Linked DNA regions of Styela clava. The protein of the gene in region 1 purifies or fractionates together with the protein of each later gene. This does not show direct contact. Links are inferred from orthologs where the notes say so. Each region holds a gene or a part of one and is shown on either strand. Other genes may lie near its edges. The genes, in order: eukaryotic translation initiation factor 6 and BRCA2 and CDKN1A-interacting protein-like.

What was found.
Region 2: the proteins of eukaryotic translation initiation factor 6 (region 1) and BRCA2 and CDKN1A-interacting protein-like purify together in Homo sapiens (affinity purification with mass spectrometry; 3 studies listed by BioGRID and IntAct, counting the BioPlex papers as one, with this or other methods). This does not show direct contact. The link is inferred for Styela clava from reciprocal best matches to the Homo sapiens genes EIF6 and BCCIP.

What each region holds. Positions count from the first base shown.
Region 1 is NC_135258.1:18,963,151-18,969,309, reverse strand, and holds eukaryotic translation initiation factor 6, read left to right. Parts: upstream 1-4,151; 5' UTR 4,152-4,237; coding exon 4,238-4,975; 3' UTR 4,976-5,524; downstream 5,525-6,159. UniProt on the Homo sapiens protein: Binds to the 60S ribosomal subunit and prevents its association with the 40S ribosomal subunit to form the 80S initiation complex in the cytoplasm. Behaves as a stimulatory translation initiation factor downstream insulin/growth factors.
Region 2 is NC_135252.1:20,952,321-20,960,027, forward strand, and holds the start of BRCA2 and CDKN1A-interacting protein-like, read left to right. Parts: upstream 1-4,587; 5' UTR 4,588-4,725; intron 4,726-5,151; 5' UTR 5,152-5,207; intron 5,208-5,944; 5' UTR 5,945-6,067; intron 6,068-6,788; coding exon 6,789-6,927; intron 6,928-7,707. Other genes in the region: uncharacterized protein LOC144411649, read left to right, coding at 1-51, 577-725, 2,343-2,609. UniProt on the Homo sapiens protein: During interphase, required for microtubule organizing and anchoring activities. During mitosis, required for the organization and stabilization of the spindle pole.

The DNA.
Region 1 (6,159 bases):
TGGTTAGGCGATTGAAAGGCTCCAACTATATATAATCAGTTTGGCGATATATTTTATTATTTTATCTCCGTGATATTGTGCAGCAATTTTGGGAAATAGTCAACGCTTGGCTAACCGTTGAGTATGGATTAAACCTTAATTTGACACATAGAGACATGTTATTGGGGGTAGGGCAAGACCAGGGTTTAAATTGTGTTTTATTGTGTGCTAAATATTTTTTATACAAATGTAAACTGCGTAATAAAAGGCCTCAATTTTGCCAATTTTTATATATGATAAAAAAATACTATAAACTGTGAAAAGATTATTGCAACTAAAAATGGCAAACTGTCAACCCATAAGTGAAGTGGAAAACTATCATGTGCTCGTTTATTTAAAATGCAATTGTTATTGGGTCTATATAAATGTATTATGTGATATTGTATCTATATAATGTGATGTTGTTATTAATAGAAAAAATACTAATATGATGTGGCAAATAATCTTTTTTTGGTTTTTCTTTTTGTTTTCCTGAGTGGTTTACCTTAGTTTATTTTTCTTTTTTATTTTAATTCTGTGGTTGTATTATATATTTACGGTTGCATGTATGGATGTGTGGGAGCGCGTGAGTGTATGTGGATTAATTTTACATTTTCAGGTGAGTGAAACGTACCACTTCTTTTGGCAACACCATTCAATTGAAATTCTGTACGTTTTTAACCTTACTCGAGGATATGTTTCCTCTCATGATTCTGTAATCAGTTTTTTATTTGTTTTATCCAATATTTTATCGTCCTTTACCTGTTTACAATGATTATGGAGTCGAAATAAACCTAAATTCTTCATCCTGTCACACCGGAAACTGGGACATGGACGTGCCATAAACTGACTATTGTACATATCGTCGTTGTGCCGTACCTCTTTGTATTGTTATTTGTATAGTCAATTCCATGTCTGTAGTCTATTTGAGGGCTACTCAACTGGCGGACCGCGTTTCGCATCCGGACCTTTAGGGTATTCGATTTGGACCGAGCCTAATTCTTTATTTAGGATCATCAGCTCCGCTTTTGAAGTTTACTTTTATAAAATCACTTTTATAGACTTAAAAATATACGAAACGAACAACTATAACGCCATATTTAAACGATCTTAATTAGCTAATAAAATAACCATTAGTCGGCCGAGGAAGTGCGCTTTCAAGGATGTCGAAATATAATTTCTGGAAAGACCGGACCCAAATATTTTTGAAATTTTGAATGCGAATATTCGGTAAAACTAGTTGAGTAGCCCTGGTCTATTTTATGTCTGTTGTCCTAGTATAACGCAGCGGTCCTAAACTGCTGTTATAATTGTTAGGGGTACATGTCGCACATCTGTGTCTTACGCCAGTAAGGTCTTGAACATGTATCCCTTCTCTGTTTTACTGTTTATTTATTATGCAGGTACTGTTACATTTTTGAGACCAATAAACATACATACATAATCCTATTTGACTCCGAGCACCTAGGTCATGAACCCCCATTGCACCACATTGGCTTCAGCCTCAACCAAGAATGTTTGCTTAGTGAGGTACCGTAAAAGCGCCTAACTTCGGACAGTTCCTAACTTCGGACAAAATTTTTGAACGGCCATATCTTGGCTAAAACGCGCCCTATATTGCTAATTTCAATTATTATAGGTAGCGCTGTTATATCTACATCTATTCTGATCCTTTTTAATGTGGCATTATAATTTTTTTGGTACAAAAACGGCAATTTTGCCGAAAATTGACTGCCCGTCATTCAACGGCGCAGAGCGTCGCTCCTACTAAAGCTATCATCGTCAAAATACCATCATTCGGTAGAGGGCGATAACAATGTATATAATTTATTTGAGTGATCGCAAGATGTCGTACGAGATTTGAATAAAACCTAAAATTCTGAATTATAAATTCCGTAAGAATATTAAGATTTCACGCAGCGTCAAAAGTTACGTCAACCTCACGTAGATTTTTTTTTCGCTCACTTCCGACACGACGTCACACTGCGTCGCGGAAATGAATTTTGACGCCAGACACAACGGCGCCAATATGACAATTTTCGTTAAGATAAAGACGGCGTTCCAAATGTAATATTTTTGTATTTTGTTCGGTCCATGTGTGAATATATGCCAAAATTACATTAATGAAAATACATGTCATACTTAATCGATGACGTTAAAAATCGAATATATAAAACTGTAAAGAATCAAACGTCCGTATGGCACAGTGTACTGACTTAACAATTATTTTATGATTAGTAGTCGAAATGACAGTTATTGAATACGGCCTGGGTGAATTTTATTCACTCGAAGTTACAAATTAATTTAATCTCTAACAAATAAACGGGAATTATATGTTAACGAAATTAAGTTGAACTTCAAATTAAACTTTACAATCGGATTCACCGTGTGTTTGATATAAATTATCACTTATAAAGATAACCGCGCAGAATATACCAAGCTATCCGTCGAGAATATTAATACTTCAAAGACTTCGATAGAAGCCCGTTAAAATACTTCATTGTGGATTGAAACGGTTTGCATCAGATATATTTACGTATGCATTTCCTGATTAAAATGACTAACGTGTTATTATACTCATCTGAAGTATCGAAAATAACGAACGAAAGATGTAAACATAGGACGACGGAAGTTTCAAATAATGCATTTTCGTCGTGACGTCAATGTTACGTTACGACGACGATCGAGCGTCTTATCTTCACGCAACGACGTGATTACGCTATCCGCATCGGAAGCCTCTTTCTCTCTGTGCGTCGCGGTTACGCAGTGACGAAAATGACTGTCCGAAGTTAGGGCAGTGAAGGATAACGGTCAGATGGCAAGAAATATCGATTATTTCAATAGTAAAAATAGTCCAATTGAACCGAAATTTGCAGGAAATGTAAATTACCGCACGAATGTTTTACCGAGCAATTTTGGTACCGTTTGGACAATAAATGGCCGAGTTATTGACGAAAATATAGTAATTTTGTCCGAAGTTAGGCGCTTTTACGGTACGGTGTGGTATTCTGGGATTGCAAATATGAATTTGGCTACCTGTGCTTTCATGTGATTTCTACCTACAGAAATATACCCGGTATAGGTTGAGCGTGGTTAAGCCACTGCGGAACTTTCGAACAAATAATTTTGGGAAGTGGTGGGTCGTGGTGACTGTAGTGCGGTGCGGGTACATGGTTGGATTGGCATACGGTACCGGTACCGGTACCGGTATCCGGCCAAATTGTAATATTAAAGTTGTCTATTACAGTACGGGTATTCTGGTATTAGTTTCCATAATACTGTAATAGGCTAGACAGAATAGACAATTACAGAATTAACTGAACTGTGATAAAATAAATCCTCACCTTACAGACTTATTACCGGTACACTACCGGTACCGGTAATGTATTACCGTACCACAGTCTGACAGTACCTGGTACCGGTAGTCTACCGGTACCGTACCGTCAGACCATATTATAGACTACAGACATCAGACCATGAAAACCCACCCTACCTGTCCTACTGCAGTAGGTAGCCTAAGTTCTCAAGTTATAGTCTAGTTACAGAGTTACCGGTAACTTATTTAATACCAAATCTAGTAATAAAATTTATTGACTCTTATTTGCGTTACCTAGTATCCAAATCCTCTAAAATCAACCAACCATGGTATTGGTAACTATAAAACTGCCAGAGATTCATGGCGCATAATTCTGTAATTCTCTGCATTCATTTTTGGTAGAACATAAATATATACTGATATAGGCGATACCAGTACACATATTGCTGTTATTGGCTTTCACTGTCTGTCTGTATCGAGTTGTAGCTTAGTTCATCAATATATTGTGCATTCAGTTAAAAATTAAATATATACGAGATGAATATTCAAATCTTATCTATATCTGTATATTGCAACAGTAAGACCAAATTTCCCAATGTCACTACTTATCTTACCTTTTAAGGTTTTGGGCTTCCCTGAAAATAGTATAATTTCAAAATGGATTCCTTACACAGGATGCTCAGTAATACACGCTTTCAATTTCTTGATCCATAGTAATAAAAAGTTTTTATGATACTCATCTCTAATATATACTGATATAGGTACATTGTCCTTCCATCCTAATTATCAGTGGAATATTCTTTAGTATGAAGGTTGTGTATGTGTTTCTTTTTTAAAAAGCTTGTTATAACTTTTAAATATAAATAAGTATAATAAATCTCATCAATCGACAGTAGTGGAACAATGGCAGTTCGTGCACAATTTGAGAAAAACAACGAAGTTGGAGTTTTTGCCAAATTAACAAATACCTATTGTTTAGTGGCAATCGGCGGATCGGAGAATTTTTATAGTGTTTTTGAGTCAGAATTGTCTGACACCATACCAGTCGTTCATGCATCTATTGCCGGCTGCAGAATCATCGGACGGATGTGTGTTGGTAACAAACATGGACTCATGGTTCCTAACTCAACGACAGATCAAGAATTACAGCATATCAGAAACTGTCTTCCAGATTCAGTGAAAATACAAAGGGTAGAAGAAAGATTATCTGCTTTGGGAAATGTTATTTCATGCAATGACTATGTTGCGCTTGTGCATCCAGATTTGGATAGAGAAACTGAAGAAATACTTGCAGATGTATTGAAAGTTGAAGTTTTTCGTCAAACTGTTGCGACGCAGGTTCTAGTTGGGAGTTATTGTTGCTTCACCAATCAAGGTGGCCTGGTACATTCTAAAACTTCATCTGGAGATCAAGACGAATTATCATCTTTATTACAAATCCCGCTTGTGGCTGGCACAGTAAATCGAGGCAGTGATGTTATCGGAGGTGGTATGGTTGTGAATGACTGGTTTGCTTTTTGTGGCCTTGACACAACAAGTACAGAATTATCTGTTATTGACAGCGTTTTCAAACTTGGTGATCAGCAAAGTAGTGCACTCACCACACAAATAAGAGATTCATTAATTGACACAATTGTATAGTAGCTAATGTCTATGAGCCACTGCATTTTATACACTGGCTATTGTAAATCCAATTGTATATATGCAAAACATGCAATTTTCACCGGGCATCTTGATAATCAGTATGGATAATACTACAGCAGATAAGTTCCACGCTCGTTGCATTTGTTGGCAAAATTTAAATACCTGGACCTTGGCTGTAATAATATGATTGGGACTGATAAAAAGTCTGAGTAACTTTTAGGATGAGATTGTAGTTGACTTATTTTTTCAAGATTTATCTGTAATGCATTTCAAATTGCAATGCCGCATATTTTAAATTGATCGATTAGGTACTATGTATCATAAATTGGAAAGCATTCAGCTTGTAATGATTTGACTGACAATTACAGGAGATAAAATCGTAACTTCAATTATTGAACTTTTGAGAACATTCATAAATTTAAGTGATCAAGCTCGAACTAACCCCTTCTTGGTAACGGTTTCTATAGGTACGTAGACCAAGTTGATTGTGTGTTATTCAAAGTTGAAAATGATAGCAATTGCTCAATAAAGACTCTGGTGAATCCATATGTTTCTTGTTATTCATGCATTAACATCCAAACTTGATTCTATATGTATTCTGGAGGGGAAGTGGGTAAGGGGCCACAACCCGCGACTTGGGTGGCTGAACCAACAATTCGCATTACCAGATCACTTATGTTGTCTTACAATGTCCCGTACTAGACACTGTACATATGTCACTGGGGATGTATTGTTATCTGCGACGGTGCTTTAAGGATGAAGAAATTTAGTGGGTTAATGAACATTTTGACACTTTTTACTTTCGATATTGAATTTGTTCTTTGTCACTTTGAGATCTGCTTTAGTCATAAGCTATGTTCCACTGGAGACTGGCGAGTTAATCATAGATGGTCCTAAGCATCCGATCGCGTGGATTTTTCGTGTAGAAAACCTGCTCGCAGTAATAACTTAATAGCTATTATTTGATTAGTTCTATCACAAGTCTTTGTACAAAACCACGCGTTTAAGTTGAGTTTTGTTCTGCAGCGTTGCGGTCCGTATCTTATTATTTATGTAATAACGACTTGGAAGGATCACATGCATGGCAACATTAAATGTTTGAGTGAAGAAGTTTCAACCGTATCAACATATTCCGACATATATTAATCACGGTGTGAGTATTCAGGATAGGATTTTCACGT
Region 2 (7,707 bases), on another chromosome or scaffold:
CTGCGGAAACTGTAATTGAAGAATGGCCAGAGCTGGACTTGGAAGATGAAAGTTGGTTCACTGTTATGATTTATTTATATATAGCCGAAGCTACCAGAAAGTTTAGTGCCTCTAACCAAGTGTGCTAACCATCTATTTATTTCAGATTTAAAGTTTTGTATTACTCTTTACAAAAAATACATTCTTATCAACTTATAATTTTTTTTTAATTCTATTTCTAAAATTAATTTGAAACCCTCATATCATAGTTTTAATTCTCGTTTTTGCAAATCTGTATTTCGCCAGATGAGGTAGTTGTCCCCTCAAAAATCTTTAATCAATGATTATGGTGCTGTAGTGAATATATAATGTCGCTCGACATTTTACTCCAAATGCTTCCAAGTAAAAAATGAGGAATTGAATTACTGTATAATATAAAGCTTATATTCCCAATACAATGGTTCAGATACACGCTTCTGTGAGGTACCTGTGGGCTACGCGCCTACGCCTAACCTAATATAACTAATTGCCAATCAATTTGAACATTCAACTGGTTTTGGATGTCCTTGTTTCATCTTATTTTCATGTTTTTATCAGCAGAAATTGAAGAAGTTGACATTGAGTCTGATTCAAACGAAAAGCCTAGAAAACCTCATCACTCTGGACCTATACAAGAAACATATCAACATAATAGAAGGTTACGACAGAAAACATTCTCTAGGAGAAAAAATACTGTGCTTAACCAGGTAACGTTGAAAATCAGTCATACAGTAACTACAAATGTTCATACATATTCACGAGTTTGATGATTAGTGTATTATTTACGAGTTTGATGATTAGTGTATTTTGGGCGCTCCAGAAGTGAGTGTACCAACATGGAGGTACCGGTAAATAATTTTGTTCGCCTACTTTACATCAAGTTGTGTAAAGGGACTGAAGTCTATGGGCAGGGGGTATATTTGCTCGGCTAACACGAAGTCCCGAACTCGAAATAAGACTAAAATAATGAAATTCTGAATAAAATGGTATACCCCGAACCGTATTATGCTACTGTTTATGTTGCGTTGAGTCCTGTGATTGATGTTGATAAGAGATAATTATGTGTTAGAACATTGTTACCCGCTCTCATTGTTGCAGGGTATTTCATGCAATTTCCTCAACTCCTTCGGCCAGGTCCTGTACAGCCGTCCACTGAAATATGTAAATCTTTACTAACAGTCTTTGGAAGCGCCAGACACTTCTTGTCATTGCCTACCAATTTATTTTACTCTGGGTGGAATGCCTAGCTCAAAACATAACTACAAATCCGTCACATGGACGGCCAATATTGAATTGAGGATTAGTAGGCCTACTCGACATTTTGTAAAAAACCATATCCCTAGTTTCTGGATCAAAATCGAGTTCACAGTGAACCCCATCTTGCCTTTCTTACGCTAATCCCATATTGCTAGTCTCTGGAAAAATATCGCTTATCTTGTTCTCATTTTTTCACATTGGCCATTAAATAGAATGTAGAATGTAAAAATTTCAACCAATTGTATCTTTCTAACGTGTGATGCCAACACAGTGCTATTAACCATTAGGCCAACGGTCGGCGAAGTTTTTTAAGCGAGGCCCAAATATTGAAATGGGAAAAGTTGCAAGGCCTAATAACAAATTTGATATGTCTTGATTCTGTTGCATCTGGACATCAAAAGAGCTTGTTCACTCACCCTGATATTGTTGTTGCAGATAACAGAATGATCATTTGATATATGAACAAAAAAAAGTTGGCAAAAAATTTATATATTATGTTGGATTTAGGAAACTTTTTCTGTGTATCACTGCTTACAACTGAAATTTATTGGAGGCTCACTAAAAAATGCTTGGCGACTCACAGTTTGCAGACTACTGCGTTAGGCCATAGCGACCACAGAATGAATAAATTCAATTAAATTAGAATCAATTTGATTATTCGACTCTCATGTTCGGAAAATTCGCTGTGAGAAATCTCGCCACATAAAATTTTGCCACATAGGAAAAATCGCAAGAGCATTTTGCTGTAAAGAAAGTATTTGCGATCAAAACAGTTAGGGTCAGGGTATGTTCCTAATAAATAGTGAGTATGTGGCGAAGTTTCTTATGGCAAGATTTCCTATGGCGAAATATGATATATGAACAAAAAACAGTTTGTTGGATTTGTGTAACTTTTTGAATTGAATTAGGATTTATTAAGGGCCCACTAGAAAATACTTAGGGACCAACAGTTTGCCAATCACTGCTTTAGGCTATTGCGGCCACAGAATGAATAAATTCAACTAAATTAGAATCAATGTGAATACTCAATTCTGTTTTAATATTTCTTTATTAATTCATATTCACAGGCTAAACGTTTAGCAGTGATAACAAATGCAGAAGTGTCTGTCTACATTAAAAGTGATACTGGAAGATACTTCAAGTACGAATCACATCTGAAAGAAAAGAGACATGTTCAGATACAATGCACTGATATCTCCACGTTAATCTATAAACAACAGCAAAGAAAAGAGAAAAGACACGTCAAAATACAATTTGGAGAAAGCTTTGTGAATAAGGAAACGCAATTAAGCGAGGAGCCAGTTCAGGAACGATTTCTAGAGATAACCGACTAAGTTGAGAATTTTTGATGCCTTTTGATGGTTCTCAAACTTTTTAAGCGCGCCCCCTTTTTAGGGTTTGTCAAGTCCCGTGCCCCAACTCAAGAACCAGCTAACAATAACCTACAAATAACAGATAGTGAAGCGAAAGTATGTTTTATTCAGAAACTTGTTGAAAATACGTGTACATAATAATCTAACAAATATTTTGATTTTTAATAAGCTCAACGCTCACTTAAACAAATGGTTACTCCCGAAGTATGTGAACCATGGGTTAGGCCATAGTTTTAGGTACAAATACTACTGGAGTCACTTGGCTAGTCCCCTAATTCGTAATAGAACTAAAATATGGAAAATTGGAATAAAATTATGACTCAACCCTAACCTGGTACACATACTACGTTCCGGTGTCCGTTATCTTGGTTCACATACTTCAAGAGTACTAAAAATTGTCTTCGATCCACTGTTTGAGAAAAATATTTGGTACAATGTAATTATGGATGCTCATATCTAAATATTTGTGTTTTGCGAAATTTTGGGATATTTTGAATAATATAAATAAATTGATAATTTTTCACTGAAATATTGTGATATATGGTTTTGGATGTAGAATTTAGTATAAAATTTAACCATGTGCCTTATGAGTTGGTGCGCCAGATGTTCGGATCATGTATTGCTTTATTGCCACTTGAAATCAGTACTGGTATGCTTTGAAAGTCACTGTGTCTTATAGTATGATGTGCCTATGTGTGAATAAGACCCAAATTAAGCAATTTATTGACAATGTTAAGATAAATCAAATTTTTATTCAAAAGAAGGAACTGTACTACTTGTCTGGGCCACTATTGTTTATAGATACAATATTTTTGTGCTATCGATTGGGTTTTTTCGAGACTAACTACTACTCAGTCTTCTAATATTTTTGGTTTAGAAATGCATGCCCAATTTATTTCGCCTTGGGTGAGGATGGAATTCGATGTTAAAACTGTGATTATTCCAACATTCTGTAAATAAGAACTCTCTTGTGTTTCATAACATCTACTGCTAGTTCAGAAGAAATCCGTAATATCTAAAATACGGTATTGCTTACTTTGTTTATAGTCCGTTGTTGCACAGTAATGACACAGTTTCAATGTATTTTTGTTGGGTGCAGAGGCTGGAGAGTATTATCCATTTGTCTTTGTCAATTTTCATTCTTTTATTCAATATCATGAATTTCACGTAATAGCTTTGACAGTTTGATGGCCTTGCGTTAAAACGCTAGATCAGACTTAACTGTGTAGTGTGTATTATTAACACCGTAAAAAAATTGTTTTGTTTTTGTTGATTTTTATTAATAACAGTTAAGTTTACAATGTATTTGTAATATTATAGTATATTTGTATTTGTAAAAATTGGATTCCTTCTTTCAAAAACAAGTATTCCAATTCAATGTTTCACAGGCTCTATTTCCTAGCGGTCAAAACGGTTTACCTAACTGTGTATTGCTAACGTTATATAATATATCTTTCGTTTCGATTTTGTTTTCTATTTTGTTTCCCAAAATTTGTGGAGATGGGGAATGAAAATGTTTTAAGTCTTCTCACTCACCTGTCAAAGAAGTATGTTTCATTTTTCACTTTGACCAAGCCAACGCCGCTATAATTATTATTAATTAATAATTAACCGCTCACAGTAATGACTGGACTGTTTCATATGCTTTTTGTTGATCAATAAAATGCCAGGCATGTGTAGAGTGTATTTATTGGGATTTTTTTCGCAATTTTATTCCTTTATTGGAAATCGTTATTTAATTTTACTTCCAGTAAAATTTTTCTTCACGACTCGAAAATTGGTAATTTGTAGAAGACAAACATTTAAAACTTTTTCTGAAATAGTTTGAATTAAAATTTATTTATATCATTCACTTAACCCACCCATGGCTGCATTGTTAGTTTATTTCTCTTGTATATGTTTACTTTATTTCAACCTTTCTTCTTTCTGCTATATTTCTAGTTCAGATCTAGAATTTAGTCTTAATTCACGTTATTGTGCCTGATGCCTCAAGGTAAACTCAAAACAAAAGTGAAAATACCAAAAGCTTCACAGAAGAAAGTAAATCATAAAAAGAATAAAGGACCAAAGAAGGGAGGTGAGGATTTTACTTGTACAATGTCAGGCAACAGGTGGCCCTTTGTCCCCAACCCGGCCCGCCAAGAGATTTATTGTGGGCCTTGTCAACACTCAGGTTTTCCCCATCAAGCATAAAATCCTGACCCGACAGTTTATGTTTGAAGAGGCGCACACCTTGGGTAAAAATACATGTTCTTTGCTCTTGTCGCTGCGTTAAATCTTTCGCAGTTTTGCCTGGTGCTTTTCTAACTGGTAGGCGAAGTTATACCGGATTATATCCTCCTGCCTTTCCTGCGGCGCTCTGGTTGAAAAATATATACAGATTTGAATCTTATTCAGTGTTTTATTGAATCACTGCACATTATCTTGTTGAATTTGTGTGTTTTTTTTTATTTGAGCAATTTTTATTTAAAAAGGGAACTATAACGATTTTACTGTTTTTCAGGAAGAGTGATAAAACCTAAAAAAGCAAGGGCAATCCAATCTGCTCAGCTTAAAAAGGTACGATGTTTAGTGTGAATTAAAAGCTACAACACATATAACTTTCAGTGTAGTATTTCATTATAATTCATAATGCTATTTCAACACTCAATTAGTACAGTTTCAGTAACTTTGTAAAATTTGGCTCAACCTATAACTTTACTGAGCCCGGGTATCTTTTGATACTTGTTTGGTACCAGTAGACTGACCACCAGATCGCTGAGATGAGATCACAGGCCCGCCCGACTTGAGTAATATTCAATTTTGATGACGTCATTACACAAAACTTAAAAGTCCAAAGCGAACCCCATAGAAATTTTTGAAATAAATGGAAGTAATAGCCTTCCATCGAAAACAACAGTTTTTAACCACTAAAAATTTCAAAGCAATAGGTCCGATAGAGGTAGATAAATTTATTTATTTACGAACCAAAAGAAATGTAAATGTGAAGGCGTGCAAGCCGTGCATTGATACATACAAATAAATGGACGCTGTTTTGTGGTAAAGACTGGAGGGAGCGATATGGTAGTGATATTTTACAACTACAATAAATACAACAAGACGAAAAATACTAACAATAATAACAAAACGATCTAAAGATCCACTTTGTATTCAATAATTTGTCTTTGACCAACTTATGAACTTACAGCATTATTTTTTGGTTTGTGGCTTATTTTGTGGAATTGCTTGGCTGTTACCCTAACAGTGTTGTCTCGAATGGTTTCAAGTTGTGTGACATTCCTAATTTCAATTCTCAGGGTCTTCAAGTTGAAATTAATAAGAAAATAGAAAAGGAGATTGTCTTACAAGCAGGTAAGAACAGCAAACTCACATTGGTTGGATCTAGTGAGACTTCTTCTACATCCAAGACTTCATAAAAGGTATGTAAATTAGGGAAGAGGCGAAATGTGGAATTCAATCACCTTTTGACCTGGTGTGCTATATTCAGTCTGTGCCATACTTGTTTCTAATTATTCACACTGACATTTTGCCTAATTTTGTCTTTGGTGTTCTTACATAATGTCCAAAAAATTTCCCCTGACTTTATAGTAGTGAAATTTAAAACACTTTTATTGTATGATAAATGGGAACCACAAGCATATTCCGCTACAAGAACTATTACCGTAATGAACAAATAAAATTATTAATTGGTATTACCATGAAATCATCCAAAAACTTTTGGACATCCTTATATTGCAACTATGGTATGCTATCCACTGAATAGAAGGTCCAACTGCCATTTTGTACGTCATTTAATTTTTATATTTTGTTTATTGTGCTCGTTTGCCTGAGTGGATAAAAAAGCTATTTGAAGGATTACTTCTAAAGAGAACTTTTGTCTGTCATTTCAGTATAGGTACTTGAATAGTTTGGCTCGATTTTTGCCGTATGAAGAAGGGTGCTTCAGAAGTGTGTGTAGCCTACCAATATTGTGTGGCTAACACAGACAGTCACAGAACTCCAAATAGAAATAAAATGAGGAATTTCGAATCAAATTATCCTATCTATTTATCCCTTACCTGTCACACACACTACGGTAGTACCTGAAGAAGACCATTTTTCTGTGCTAATATAGTAAACTATGACTCTTTCCTCTTACAGATGGCAGACCCAAAGAAGCCTCGTCCTGAAGATGAAAGTAGTGATGAAGAATGTATAGTAGAAGATATGGGATCAGATGAGGAGCAAGAGGGAGATGAAAATATGGAAATTAATGAAGAAATTCAAGTCGATTTTGAAGGTGGGGCTTTTAAGGGTTAGATCTGACATTGGCAAACACTACAGATCGCAGGCCAAATCTGGCCTGCCTGATGATGCCATAAACTTCTGCATTCAAACAATTATGCATGCACTATGTAGTTGTTGTTATTGAAATCCCAAATCTGTTTTGACAATTGCCACAACCAAACTAAAAACCAAATCTTGTTTTACTAAAAAATTAGCTCAAGGAATTTGTTGAGATTGTGTTTAAATTTAGTTAGGGTTACGCGTTTGGAACACTGTAAATTTAATGTTCATAATATAATATAACTTTTCATGTCACACTTACATGGCCCGCCAGTCTAAATAGGCAAAATTTTTGGCCTCCTGGTTCAAAAACCCCGCTCAACCTGGGTTATATCAGTGTTTCAAAATGTTAATGTCAGTCACAAGATAATCAAAATGTTAGTCACGAGATAATAGAGAGCATAATTTTTTATCTGGCCATGTTTGAAACTTGAACTGATAAAATTTGCTTGAATATAATTCATTTAGTGTGATTGATAAATATTGAGAGAGCAATGCAATTGGACATTCAGCCATTTTTCTACTGTCCTCTCTGGAATAAATATACAAAAATCTAATCGCACCTCTTCAACCCATAATTTTGTGTCCTTTCAAATGGTGCAACTTTGTGTTGTACCTTTCGATAAATGCCAGTCTCTCCTGGTTGGAAATAAACTGTTGTGACAGTTTATTTATTGAAACCAAAATTATGGCTTTAAGAAACTAAAAACGCATTTTAACCTAACACACGAGA